Linked DNA regions of Notamacropus eugenii. The protein of the gene in region 2 purifies or fractionates together with the protein of the main gene of each other region. This does not show direct contact. Links are inferred from orthologs where the notes say so. Each region holds a gene or a part of one and is shown on either strand. Other genes may lie near its edges.

Region 1 (7,547 bases), on a different chromosome or scaffold from region 2:
TTCTTCCTCTGCTATAACTACATTGGATTTTCTTTTCTGAACTGTCTGTTCATTTTCAGGCTCAGGAAGTTTATTCCCAATTTCATTTTCCTTTTGTTTCAAGAAAATTGATGGTATTTTGAGAGTCCTTTTCCCTTTAATCCTTGAAATAGGCTTGGGTGGCACAGCATGAATTTGTGCAAGAACAGTCACTTTTTTAAGGGGCAGCTGCTGGGAACTTTCACTGCCTTCAGGCTCACTAGTGTTCCCACTTTTACCAACATCATCAGGAGTATCGGACATTTTTGGTCCTTGTATGTGCTCCAATGGGTTTACTTCCTGACTTCTTAAAAATTCTTCATAGGATACAGTTACCGTATTATCATTTACCTGGGCTGTGTCAGACACATGAACTCCAGGGCTGGAATCACTTGCAAAATCCACAATTTCACCAGTTTTGAGTTCTGTTTTTTGCTTATTGTCCTTGGGTTCCTTTTTGGATTGTTGGCTGGATTCTTTTTCTAATGATAAATTTCTAGTTAGGTCTTTATCATCTTTGTGCTTCCTTTTCCTTAATTTTTTGCAGTCATTTTTTGTGATGCTTTGTTCAGCGTTTACTTTCTTTCTGTCTTTTTGGGAGGACGTTGTGCTTGATTGCTTATTGTTACTCTGACTACTTTCTGAGAAGGGCTCTACATTTTTCCGAGTAAGTAAACCAGAAGTATCACTGTCACTACCCACAAAAACATTATTTAAGCTTGTTTCTTCTCTGCTGTCATCACTACTAATAATTATGGGTTCATTTTCCAATTTTTTAATATCATTAAGTTGTTGAGATAAATTAATTCTCTTTCCCCTTGACTTAGGCTCTAAATTGGAGGAATTGTTCAAAAGTGTTTTCCCTTCTTTGCTATCATCAAAATGCAATGGTTTAGATGACTGTATCTTGCATTTCTTAGCTATAGAAGACTTTTCATTTATGGGTGAAGTCCTTTTAAAATAATCCAAGATGTTATTAGATTTTGGTGGGGAGAAAACTTTGTCTCCAGTTTTCCTTATAGGTGACATATATTCAGTAATGGTTTTACAGGAAGCTCCATCATCTTCTTTCCTTTGCTTCTTGCATGGCTTTAAATTTAAAAAAGAAAAAAAACCATGTAACTAGGGGAAAATAAAATGTAAAAAAAAGAATATAAGTTCTACTTATAATAACAGTAAGAAGAAATTAATATTTTTATCTAAATAAACAAATGAATGAGTAAAAATATTTTTAGAATAGAAATTACTAATTTATGTATATCAAATAAGGAAACTACATCTGAAAAATAAGAAAACATTAGAAATACCTAGAACACAGCAACTTATATGACTTATGGACTGTTTTAGGGGAAGTCATTTGCCCCAATTTGTCTTGAAAGTTGTTGTCTTTTGAACTAGTAGCCAACCTTCTTCCAACACAGTAGTGTTAAAGGAGGTTTCTGAAGTAACGTGTATCCTTTTTGTGCCTAGTATACATTAGTAATCTGCTTATATTTAACAGAAATCAGACACCACAGTATTGGTGCCTCACTTTCTGTTTTATGTTTCATGGAGAATCTTTACAGTTCTGTTTCAAGTATTTACCTAAAGAGTTTTTAATAAGAAGCAAAACTCTAAACCAAAATTGCTTTTCACCAGTCTCATCTCTTCCAAGGTGTAAATACTAGCTGGGAGTCCAAAAGACGGGGAGTTGGGGAGAACCACTGAGCTTGATTCTAATTATCTCTAAGTAAAGTTGATGTCTGGAAACTCACATATGTTGACCAGAAGGAAAACCATTACTTGCCAAGTATTTTACATGTAACTAAACGTACAGGTGTGACAGATCAAACGGAAAGACTGCTCCAGTCACAGAAGGAAAGAAATGCTTCTCTCTCAGTTGCCGTCAGAATTCAAAACTCCCTAGAGATGTTTCACTAAGAACAAAATTCGGCCACTGCTTTCCGTCACGACCTGGCTGGGTGACCCCCTGGTCGCCGGGCCGACGTTCTCCTGGCAAAGCTGTCATTTGTGGAAGAAGGGGAAACTGGCAAAGGCAGCTTCGGTCATTTTCCCGATCACCGCCCTGCGCAGCCTTCCCTGGGGGGCCGAAGCCCCTCTTCTCGGCTAAGAGGGAAGGGTCTAGGGGTGAACGTGGGGTGGGGGGAGGCAGACCACGTGATTAAAGGCCCCCCAGAGAGACGGGCTGGGGGCTACCGGGGATGGGTGGGGATCCAGACTCCAGACCGAGTGAAGGGTCCCAGCTGCGGGGTGGAAGGGAGCTCTCATTGTATGGGCGAGGAAACTGAGGCACAGAAAGCACGAGCCACGCGTGGTGGACATCACCATCGAGATCGGCTCCGGACCCGGGGCCTCGGGGTTCCCTCCTCAGACGGGCCTTTGAGACCCCAGAGAGCATCTGTTAAGTACCTGCTGTAAGTGCAATGGGGGAAGGAAGGGTACAGCCCCCTCCCCCAGACTCGACTGTACTCCGCGCCCGCCCCACCCCCAGGGCAGTCCAAGAGCTCCGGGGCTAGCTGCCCCGGGAGGGGGGGAGCTCCCCGCCTGGGGCAGGGGGCAAGGCTCACCTGGATGTCCAAGTCCTTTCCGGGCGCTCGGGCCGGAGCCGCCGCAGCCATGGCCAGCACCCCGACCATGGTCCCCGGCTCGGCTCCCGGGCTGCCAGGCCCTCAGGAGCGGACGGCGCCGGATCCGGAGCCGGCGCGCGCGGGTACCATGACGTTCGGGACCCGGCTCTGGGGAGCGCGGGACGCGGGAAGAGACCCCAGCAGAAAGCGCGCGGACGCGGGACCCCCAAGCCAGAAGCCGTGCGCAGGCGTCTCCCCCTCCCCCCGCCAGCGGGCGACCCTCGAGGGTCTGGGCGCCTGGGCTGCACTGGGGTCCGAACTGTGGGAGGGCGGGGGGAGGGTGCAGGCGGCTGGGGAGGCCCGAGCTCCGCGGACAGAGATTCTTGTCAATTGGGTTTTCGCGCCGTCCGGGAGCGCCGGAAGCGGGGGCGGGGCAATTACGCAACGTCCGGGACGGGGAGTGGATGGCGGCCCGCGAGGGCCAGAAACCGGCGCCGTGAACGGAGGCGACCCTCGCAGTCACTCCGCCTCGCTCTGGGGTCCGAAGGTCGGGCACCCGCTGAAGGGCTGAGAGAGCGAAGGGAGTCCGGAGCCATCCGGTCAGATCCCCTCGTTTACGGAGGAGGAAACTGAGCCCCGAGGAGTGAAGGGACCTTGCCCGGGACCCTCCGGAAGGAAGCCCGCCGGCTGGCCACGGGCTCTCTGCGGGGCGTCCGCCCGGAGACCCAGACGGGTCAACCCTCTACCCGCCGCGCCCCCCAGCCCGGCAGGACGGAAGCCGCCGCCCGGAGCCCTGCAGGGCAGCTCTCCTCAGGAGCTCCTGCGTCTCCCCATCCCCCCGGGTCAATGGCAGAGCCCTCTGCGCGGCATTTAAAGCCCTTCCCAAGCTGTTTGGGGTGCTCTCTTTAATTAGCACAGATGTGCAGGGACAGCGCAGGCCGCTGCGGGGAGGCTCCCCAAGCCCCTCCCGGCATTCCCCCGCTGGACTTGCAAAGGCATAAGGCCTTAAGGTCTCGAAATCCCGGAGAGGAGTCGGTGGCCCGCAGCCCGATACCCAGCCCTCCTCCCATGCCCTCAGGTGGTTAGGAAGGTCCGAGAGAGGCAGAAGTTTTGTTCATTGTCTTTGTTACGTGCCCTCCTAGTGGATTGTCTGCGGGCCATCTACGAGAAGCGATCGGTCGGAAGGAAGGAAAAGCAGATTTCTATCGTGTTAATATTTCAGAGAGAGATTTCATTCTCTTTTTCGACACCCTGAGATCAGTATTGAGTTGGGCGCAGGGCCCCCCCATCAAGAGCTGTGTGAGCTCGGACTGAAAGAATTGGGAGCCTGATGGAAGAGCTTGATCTCTGAGGCATTTGGGAAAGTCATCTCGTGCCCACTGAAAACCCTCCAATGAAACTAGGTGGCCGATAGTAGTCAAATTATTATTTTTTAAAAAATTTAATTCTGAATGTAAATAAGAAAAAAGGGCATTTCCATATATGCAGCAGTAGACCAATAAAAAAGAAAAGGATTCTCCATGGAACTGCAACTCTCCATTTCCTAAGCTTGCTTTTCTTTAGATATATGATCAATTCCACAAGTTATTTTCAAAACTACCCTGCTTGTACTTCCATCTGAAGTACACTTCTTTATATTTTCATCTCCTCATTTTAAAAAAAGATCTTATTTTGGTTATAATAGCACTAACCCTGCCTTCATTTCCCATGATGAAAACAGAAAGAAAAAGGAACCACATCAGGACGTACAATGAGCTGCCTAACATAGTTCCTCCACAAAAATCTAGGAAATACACGAGAACAAATCTAAACACAGGCCAGGAACTTGCCAAGCTCAGACTAGGCGACAGTGATCAGACTTTGCCCTGATTTTGGCACCACTCAAAGTGTTCAGGTCCCCAGCCTGAGCAGCTCCCTGAGATCCTACAATTACTCAATAGTCAACACTCCAAGAAAGCAGTAGCAGGACCCAAGAGACTAAACCCAGACATTCTTTCCAGAATTATGAGAGCTTTGCCCTAACAAAGTCTGAAGTAAAGAAGTAGGCTGAAAGGCTGATGAAACAAACAAAAAAAAGAATCTTCCCATAAAAAGATGTCATGGTGACCAGGATGCTTAGGACACAAACCCAAAAGAAGATAATGACTCCAGAACATCTACGAGAAAACAAAAGAAAAACATAGCTTAGGCACAAGTTCAACTATAATTCATGGGGAATATGAAGCAAATAGTTTTTTTTAAAACATGTTTTTAAAATATTTTTAAAGATGTTTTCATGAATAAAATGAGAATGTGGGGGGATGGAAAAAAAGAACAAGAAAGAATTAGAAGGGGAATGAACAGCTACACGCAAGCTTACTCAAGCAACAAACTCCCCCAAAATTAGAATGAACCAAGTAGAAGTTAACAACTCCCTGAACCAACAAGAAATATCAAAACAAAGTCAAAAGATTAAAAAAATATGAGAAAATGTAAGACATTTCATAGCCAGAACAACTTACCTGGAAAACAGATTGATGAGATAATTTGAGAATCATTGAAACCTGAAAGCCATGACCCAAAAAAGAGTCTAGAGATCAAATTTCAAGAAATCATAAAAGACAACTGCCCAGATTTCTTAGATCAAGAGAACAAAGTGAAAATGGAACCCTCTGGTCCCCTTATGTAAAGGAAACACCAAAAATGAAAATTCCCAGGAACACCATATCCAAAGTCTAGAATTTTCAGGTTAAAATAAAAAAATACTGCAAGCAACAAGAAAGAAAGAATTCAGGTATTGAGGATCTATAGTCAGGGTTGTAGATAATTTAATAGCTACCACTATAGGAGAGTGGAGAGCTTGGAATTTGATGTTCCAAAAAGGGAAAGATATAGGCTTACAAACAGAATAATTTACCCACTGAAACATAATGCTAGAGGGATAAAAATAGATCTTTAATGAAATAGGGGAGTTCTAAGCATTCTTGAGGGAAAAAAAATCAAGTTGTATAGGAAAAATACAAATACAGAAGTCAAGAGAAATATGAGTAAACAATCATAATGGACTAAACAAAGATGAACTGTTTACATTTTAATATAAGGGGATGATATATGTGTCCCATCAGAACTCATCAAGAGCCATGGAGTCTAAGAAGCCAGATGGCCTGGAAGAGGTTTTGTCATGTTTTGATAGTCTTAGAAGAAGAAAGGACAGGGAAAAGGAATATACTGGGGAGGGAGAGGAATGGGGAGAAAGAGAGAGAAAGGAGAAGGAAAATTATGTATTCAGGATGCTGGAATAGAAAACTATACAAATAAGGAGGAAGAGGTTGGAGGAAGTAGGTAACACTTGACCCATACTCTTATCTGAACTGGTTAAAAGAGGGAAGAACATGCAAACACGATTGGGCACAGAAATACATTTCACTCAACAGGGTAACAGGAAGGAAAGGGAAAAGAGAGAAAGGATAATAAAGAGTATTTAAGGGAGGGATTAACCCTAACCAAACCAAACACTAAGATAGGTAGAACAGATTATGAAGTTGAAAAGAAAAAAAAAGAAAGAGAACCTGTGAGAGGGCTCTGTGTGAAGGAAAGAGAAGAGGGGCAGGAGAGCAGAAGCAGACTATACCAAACCTAGGCCACTGGTGCTGAGCACATTCCTCCTCTCTCACTACCTCCTTATTAGGGGTGTGGTGTGTATGTGTGTGGGGGAAACATGGAAAGATATAAAAGGATAGGATGAAAGGAAATATGCAATTAATGATCCCAACTGTCAATGGAAATGGGATGAAATCACTCATAAAACAGAAGAGAATAGCAAAATGGATTAGAAAGCAGAATCCAACAATATGTTGTTTACAAGAGAAACATATTTGAAACAGGTTCACACGGAGTTAAAATAAGAGGTGTGAGCAAATCATGCTTGAACTGAAGTAAAGACTTAAGAACTCTGATCAATCCAATGATCAACCACAGTTTCATAGGTTTGATGATGAAGCATGTACCCAACTCCTGACAGAGGGGTGATAGATTCATGGTACAGAATGAGACATACATTTTGGATATGACCAATGTGTTTTTGCTTTACTATGCATATGTATTACAAGAGTTTTGTTTTTCTTTTTCATCAGCAAGGAGGAAAATGGGCAGAAGAGAAAATTAATGTTTGCTAGCTGACAAAAGATAAACTAAAATAAAAATTACATAAAATAAACTAAACCAGTCAGTGATAACTACTGTTCTTGACTAAGAGACTTAGACTCATTAAAACTAAGTGTGAACTTTGCAGAACCACTGTTTATAGACATTTTATATTTCACCTTGGTTCTGCATTGTTTCCTTCAAAGTCAGTTTCTTTAGGTAAGCTGGTGCTGGGACTGGGGTTTTTCTTGTCAATGACTGACTTTTCTGAAACTTTTCAGAAACCTTTCTTGTTGCTGAGTGGAGTCAACTCCACTTATTGGACCCAAGACCTCTGGGTGTCTTAAACTTATAAGGTCTTCTCCAAACCTTGAAAATTATGTATTACACAGGAAAGTAAACACAAAATAGAAAAGGCAATCAGGAAGACACTCAGTAACAGTCTGACCCTGGGAAAGTCACTTAACCCCACTACTTCCAAAAAAGAAAAAAGAAAAGGCATCTAGGGCCCAGATAGAAGCTGGCCTAGCTGAGACCATGTTCTACATGAAAATGGTCAGGAGGTGGGGTAACAGAGGACAGCCTATCGCTCCAACCTGCTTTGGGGATATATAGCACTATATTTGTTGCATGGCATAATTAAAGCAGAGGACTGCGCTAGAAGCTTTATCTTCTTTTAACTCATGAAGCACTGTCTATCTCACTTCTACTGTAATAGGCAGAGGGAAAACTAAGAAATCCTTCTGGGTTTGCCATGTCAAACCAAAATTCCAAGTCCTTTCATCACTTCGTCACCAGGGAGTTCATCAACTTTAACACACCCAAATGCTGAGTCATACA
Region 2 (7,291 bases):
AGATGAAAACTTACATGATCTACCCCTAAAGGTTGTTGTGAGGGCGGCAGTGGGGTGGCACAGTGGATAGAGTACTAGCCCCGGAGTCAGGAGGACCTCAGTTCAAATCCCACCTCAAACACCTACTAGCTGTGTGACCCTGGGCAAGTCACCCAACCCTGACTGCCTCAAATCCTGCCCCCCAATCCAATAACAATAATGATGATACCTGTTAGTGTTTACCTGATGGGGCTGTTTTGAGGCCCAAATAAAGCAATGGTGTGAGGAAACCTTAAAGTGCTACGTGTATTTCCTGGATTGGATAGGAATTTAGATTAGATGGCTTCTCAAGATCCAATAAATTTTAAGTTTATCCCATGATGTTAAAATATAAAACAAAGAAAAAGTGATGCCTGAGTGACAGAATTCTTTACAATTCAAACCAAGGCCATTTTCATAACTTTGTCATTACTAAGAAATTTCAGTTCTGTGTTTCAGATGTAAACAAGGGATCTCTGTAACTTATCAAGCTCTCACTGCTCTGATGCACTCACCACTGGAAGCACACACGCTGGCAGAGCAGGAGCCAGTGCCAGTGAACACTCAGGGAGCGTTCACTCTTTAGAGATGAGGGAGTGAGGCCCATCATCATCTGGTACTTTTCAGATGATACAGATAACACAGCTTTTCCCTTTAAAAGAATGATGCTTTCGGAGGTGGGGCCTCCTGGGGGAACAGCACAGTAAGTGGTCTCTTATGGACTAGCGTTCTTATCGAGATAACCACAGGTTTCAGTGTGAACTGCTGCCCACCAACAGGCAAGAGTCTTCAAAACTGCAAACCCTTCCCCTTTCCTCTCTCCAACAGCTCTAGAACCATGAACAAAGTGACTCCGTCATTATTTTGGGATGGAATGGGTCCATTTATTGCACAACCCTGTAACATTCTAGACTAAAGGGTCTCCCTGGACATCACTCCCTCATGTGGGGACTTGCCAATGCCAATTCTGTGAGGTGAGACTTGGTTTTTTTCTAAGACTATCCCCAGAACTTATAGCAGATGTTAGCACCTAGTAAGTATTTAATAAATGCTCATGCATGCATTCATTCATTCATTTAACACGATCAACTAAACGTGATTTGTGGAGGTTCCCTTAGGCAACTCCAGGCCTGGCTGCTAAGGCCCTAGACAATACTCAGTGGGATCTACTGCTTCCTGATCACACACACCCAGCTATTTCAATGGTACAGCGAACTCCAAGATGGGAATTTCTTCTAAGTCAGCACCTTCTCTGACCCACGGTCCGAGGGCCTGGAGCACTGCCTGGCTTAGAGGCCCGCTCTCTGGGCCACCTGAATGAGCTGTAGTAGTCCTCCCTCCTGGCTGGGTCCCAAGACTGTTCTGGACCGTCCTCTTGGCCATCTGGCCAAGACACCTTCTGGCTGTGGCTCCCACAGCACAGTCTCCTGTCTCTTCCCACCCCCTCCCCCTTATCTGGGAGGATTCCTTTAAACCTTGGCTCGGGACCTGCCTTCTGCATCAGAGATGTCAAACTCTGGCCCAAAGGACACACCTGAGGGCGGCCTCAAACCAGATTAAAATGTGATTGGGAAATAGCGAGCAACATGAACAAAACCGCCACGAAACACGGATAATGTATTTTAAAATGACGCCCATCTGCAGCCCCCCCTTCTACAGTTCCGTGGGGGTTACCTCTATTTGGGCTGGACTCCCCCGGCCCAGGTGACCCCGCCCCATCTCTGCATCTCTGCACAGACTCGGGGTGAGCTCCCAGAGGACGAGGCGCTTCAGGTTTGGGTCTGTGCTCCGGTCACTTCCCCCCACCTGGAGACAGGAGGTACAGGCCCCCCCACTCCCAGCGCGCTCCGGAGCCCTCCGCAGACGGCAGAGGCCGGCCGGCGGGGCCCTCCCCAAGCCCGCACAGGCTCCGGAGGGGAAGGCGGCGATGGCCGGGCAGCGGGGACCCTGGGCCCGGCGCTCCCGGAGCGGGCAGACGGGCAGACGCGAGGACCCCCTGGGGCCGAGGCTCGGGCCTCTCCAAGTCTTACGGGGGCGCACCCCGCTCGGACGGGTCGGGGCCCCGGCGCCCCCTGCGAGGTGACACCTCGGAACGACTTTCCGGGAGAAGCGAGGCGGCTGCGCCTGGTCCGAGGGCCACACGTGGGCGGCGTGTGTGTGGGGGGCACCGGCCTACGGACCCCACAAGGGGCCGGACCAGACCTAGCCGAGGGCACAGTGCGCCCCGCGGGGCCCCACCTCCGGGTGATCCGCGCCGGGCCACGCGGCCTCCGCCCCCGGGGGTCACCGGCCCTCGGCCTCCCCCGGCCCGGGGCGCTCGGGGCGTGACCGTTGTCCCCACGGGGCGGGGCCGTTGGCCCGAGCGGCCCCCGCGGGTGGCCGGCCGGCCGGTCCGGGGGCGGAGGTGACCGGCTCTGCCGGGGTGGGGGGCAGCCGGGGTCGGGGACCTCCGGGGACGCCCCCGGGTCTGGGGCTGCGGGCGCGGGCCCCGCTCACGGTCACGGACGGTCGCGGCTCCGCAGCCCCACGGGCCGGCGGACGTATGGGCCGGGAACTCGAGGTAGCGGCCCCCGGCCCCCTCCCCACAACCCCGGCGGGCGCGCCAGGACAGCGGGGCCCAGGCCGGCCTCATTCCGCTCCCGCCTCCCCCCACCTTCCGCCCGCGGCGACCTCGGCGCTGAGTCGGCGGGGCCCGGCCCGCGGGGCTCGGGAGGCGCCCGGGCTGGGGGGCGGTCCCCGGAGGGTCTTGCGCTCCGTCCCCGGCGCCCCTCACCTGCACTTTCCGCCGCCCCGCCGTATTCTGTCGGTGATGCGCCGCCATCTTGCATGTTGACACTCCCGCGTCACTTCCGGAAAGGAGGGAGGATGTCCCGCCTCCTTTCCTGGGCGGCCCCGCGGCACCAGGCTCCCTCTCGAGGGCAGTTGCCGGCAGAGGGCGCGAGCGGGCCAAAGGGTCCTCACGAGCCGCGGCCTGGGGGCGGGTCCAGAGCGGGGGGAGGAACCGCGGGGGCGGGGCCCTGCGGCGGCGGGGCGGCCGGGGGCGGGGCCAGGGCGCGGCCGACAACGAGGCGGAGCGGGGTGGGCGGGGGCAGCGCCGGGCCAAAGGGCAGCGGGGCGGGGGGAGGCAGCAAGGGGGAAGGGGGCGGGCGGTCCCGGAGGGGGCCCGAAGGGGCGGGGGTCCAGGTGTCAGGAAGAGGGTGAGAGGGGGCGCGGCAGTGCGGGGGCGTGGGAGAACGCGCGACCGTCCTGGGGGGGCGTGGGGAGCTCAGCGGGGCGGTGGAGGGGCCGGGGCCTCCGCAGAGGAAGGGAGGGGGGCGGGGCGGGGGCGGGGCTTCCTAGGGAGCTGGGGAGAGCCGGGCGGGGGGAGGGGCGGGGCGGGGAGAGGAAGGAGAGGGGGAAGGGCCGAAGAGGGATCGCCCGGGAAGGCCAGCTGCGGTCACTCGGGCACCTCGAGGGCCTGGCCTCTGCCCTTTGTGAAGCCTCGGGCCGCAGCCTGACACCCGGGCAGTGCGTGCCTGCGCGTCACAAAGGGACGGAGGGAGTGGTGAAGGGCCCGGAGAGAGGCAAGCGAGGGGCCCGGGAAACTAAGCTACCCCCTTCATGGACCTCATTGGAGTGTGGGCCCGCCCTCGGGCCGTCTGGAGTTGGGAAAGGCTTGTAAGCCAGCATGCTAGGAGGTAAGCCCGTGAGGGCAGGGACCCCCCCCAACCCCCCACTGTGTTTCTAAAGGTCAGCTCAGGCCTATAAATGATGTCTTCCTGGAGAGCAGGACTTAGGGGCCTCGGGGTCCAGCTCCCCGGTGGTACCGCTGATGTGGTGCCACCACTCACCTGCCGCCCTGCGCAGGGCACCAGGCTGGTGGGGTCACCCTCCCTGCGGGCTCTGGGCCTCTTTTACTGGTTTGCCCCAATCTCTCTGAAGGTGAAGGGACGCGATGCCATGTGCCAGGAAGGGACACTGGCTGCCCCCGAGGGGCACTGCCCAAATCACTGGCTTTACTTTGGACATCTTCTGATTCACTCTGAGCATGTTGCATCCCCTTACCCTAGAAGGTAGAATTCTGGGCTTGGCATCAAGACGAACCAGACATGCAGTAGCTGTGTAACCCTGGGCAAGTCCCTTAACACTGCCTCAGTTTCCTCATCTGTAAAATGTGTGGGAGAAGAAAACAGCAAACCCCTTTAGTTTCTTTGCCAAGAAAACCCCAGATGGGGTCATGAGGAATTGGACATGACTGAAATGACTTAAGGACTGTAGCCTTGAAGAACGTTAACCGGAGGGGTGTGTGTGCCTGGCACACCCCGAGGTCACTACCACGGGGCTGAGCCATTTCCCAGCCCTGGATAGTTGCCGTCATTTTACACTGTCTTCCTTTTGTGAGTGACCATCTATTTGTCAAGGAACCTTTTTATCTATGAAACAAATGGCTTCACTGGGAATTGTGATTGGAGCAAAATCGTTGAATATCTAATGGTGAAGGGCCCTTGAAGGCCCTTGACTCATTGCACTTGCTAGTAAGGGCGACCCCCTCACCCAGCCGCTGCTGGGAATCTTCCAGGGCAGAGAGTTTCTCCTTACATCTGTGTGCTCCTTTCCGACTCCCAGGGGTTACATTTACAGGATGTAAGGAAGGATGTAGGAGCGATCCAGCCGATGGAGCCGTGTCCTTCTTGGCTCTCAACGTGATGCTTTTTTTTTTTTACTAGCCTAGTACACACCGTTAGCTTTTCATCTTTTGGTCTGCCATCTCCTATAGATGGAAGTCACAGTCACGCATGTGTGATACCATGTATTCTTCACAGCATAGCTTGATCTTCACCTGCTCCCTCAATAGTAAGATTGACTTCTGGAAAGTCGCATCCATTTATTTTGACAAGGGAGAGGCCTACTGACCACCAGAGCCCAGAGGATGGCAGGAAAGAGAAATTTGGCATTGATGAGACCAGTGGGCATACTCCATGGAGAGCTGAGACACGATTCCCAGCCAAGGTGACTCCATGCCTAACTGAGATGACCCATTACCCAGCAGAGAGGAGCAAGAGAGAACATGAACCGCTTTGAAGCAGTCACACTGATCTGTTGGGTGCCTGTCATCTCTGCTGGGTATCAGGACTCCAGACTTCTTCCTGTAATCTCTGCCCAATGGGATGTCTCCACTGCTCTATCTGCCTGCTGGGCTTAGTATATAGCTTCAAACCTTCATGTCCCGCCAAGCAGCAAGCAGAAGCTGACAGATATGACATTCTAAGATGAGATCTGTTCTCTTGATTGTTTTTCTCTTGTGGTATACTTGAGGTTCCTGTCCCAAGATTCCTGTATGGCACAGGAATCCCTAAAAGCCATTTCTAGAACTCCATCCATCCAAACCCTATAGAAGCTTGGTTGAAACTGGATTAAAGTGATTCCCCTTTGCTCCCATAATGCACTCCCCCCCCCACAACATATTGACATGCCAATAAACTGAAGGATGGGTGCAGTGTGTCTGCCCAAGATGGGTGACTAAAGTCCTCAGCCTCTCCTTCCACATTCCTGCCACTCTGAGGCATTTCCCAACTTTCGTGCTGCCTTCCTGCCAAAACCTTGTTAGTCTCCCTACAAAGTTCAATAGGGGCATGTATGTAGTTTGATGCTTGTAGTAAAAGATCAATTTGAAAAGAACAGATGACTGAGAAATGGGGTGGCAATGGTTAAAATGAAGTAGACCATGAGCTCTGAATGTATTCAGGGTGTAATGGGGCCACCCAAAAGACTCATGGGTTCTTTATTTTTCCTATAAGAAGCACAGTGGCAGTAAGGGGGAGATTCTGGCCATACTCTGGCCTAGTCACAGGGTAGTGGGGGGAAGAATGCCAAATGGGCATGTGCTCAATATTTTCAGTTATTTGAAGGACTGCCATGTGCAGGAGAGATCTGACTTGACTTTACTTGGCTCTGGACTGGAAAATAGTACCAGGAACAGTTCCTGGGAGGCACCTTTTGGCTCAATATAATTGAAATCCCCTAATAATTAGAGATGTCCCAATGTAGAATGGGGTTTCTTCCTAATCACCTATGTCCTAGGGACTGGGGTACAATAACAATGAAATAATTCCTATGTTCAAGGAGCTTATATTCTAAGGGTAAAGAGAAGTATATACATCTGTGTGTATATATATATATTATATATCTGCAGTCCAGACTGGACCAGTCTCTAACTTGGGAACTTGGGAGCCTAAACAGAAGAGGCGTGTCTGGAATCAAATAGTGGCTTAATTAGTTTCAGGGTGAGGAAAACACTCTCTAGTGGAAGTCCTGAGTAGAAGGGCTTAAATGTGTTGGGGTAGAAGCAGTGCTTCTATACATACTGGGTTGGACGATAACAATCATTTTTAGGTCTTGAGGTACTACGTTCCCATGGGACTTGTATTGTTCCACGTCTTGAGGGACATGATTACTCTGGGGTAAAAAACAAGAATTCTGTGAGAGGAACAGGAGAACAGTACAAGGAACAGGGATTGTGAGCATGTCAGAGACGTGATGGATGTTGGCCGTCAGGTCCCTGGGAAATAGTGGGAGTGAATACCTGGTACTCACTTTGCCAGAGGGTGAGAACATCCAGAGTGCCAAGGACTGTTGTTATTGCCAAGTTCAGGGCACAGCCTGCTTGTTGGGCCTTAGCTCTTGGAAAGTATTTTGACAATATGAGTGGTTGGTTGTAGTCCTTTGTTTTCACAGAAGACCAAAATGACATCACTATGTCAGGGTCAACGTGCGGTGTGTCTGCCCATAGCTGATCAGACCAATAGGAGCTTAGAAGGCTTTACCACAGGTTGGGCACAAATGGTCCATATGAACATTTAGAGTCGATTTGCTCAGCTCATTTTTTTTGAGCTACTGCAATTCTGGTTTGCTTGTAGAACATAGCACCTTTTTTGATGAGGGCATACCATACTGGATGGTCCTATCCCAGTGTCTCTCATGAGAGACCTTCAGAGTGTCTTTTTATCTCTTCTTCTGACCTCCATGAGAGCACTTCCCTTGTGTGAGGACTCCATAAAATAGTATTTTTGGTATTTGGTATTTGAACAGCATGGCCAGTCCATTGGAGTTGTACTCTCTGCTGTAGAATTTGAATGCTTGGAAGTTCAGTTGGTCCTTCAGAAAGGAGCTCGGTGTCTGGTACTTTCTCTTGCCAATGATCTTCAGAATCTTCCTAAAACAATTCAAATGGAAGTGATCTTACCTTAGACAATTACCAGCTGTGTGACCTTTAACCCGGTTTGCCTCAGTTTTC

What was found. Proteins that work in one complex are often made in the same cells at the same time.
Region 1: the proteins of WDR48 (region 2) and ATAD5 purify together in Homo sapiens (affinity purification with western blotting; 3 studies listed by BioGRID). This does not show direct contact. The link is inferred for Notamacropus eugenii from reciprocal best matches to the Homo sapiens genes WDR48 and ATAD5.

The regions. Positions count from the first base shown.
Region 1 is NC_092873.1:311,746,732-311,754,278, forward strand, and holds the start of ATAD5 (ATPase family AAA domain-containing protein 5), read right to left. Parts: upstream 3,010-7,547; 5' UTR 2,655-3,009; coding exon 2,586-2,654; intron 1,108-2,585; coding exon 1-1,107. UniProt on the Homo sapiens protein: Has an important role in DNA replication and in maintaining genome integrity during replication stress.
Region 2 is NC_092874.1:473,656,777-473,664,067, reverse strand, and holds the start of WDR48 (WD repeat-containing protein 48), read right to left. Parts: upstream 3,022-7,291; 5' UTR 2,840-3,021; coding exon 2,792-2,839; intron 1-2,791. UniProt on the Homo sapiens protein: Regulator of deubiquitinating complexes, which acts as a strong activator of USP1, USP12 and USP46. Enhances the USP1-mediated deubiquitination of FANCD2; USP1 being almost inactive by itself.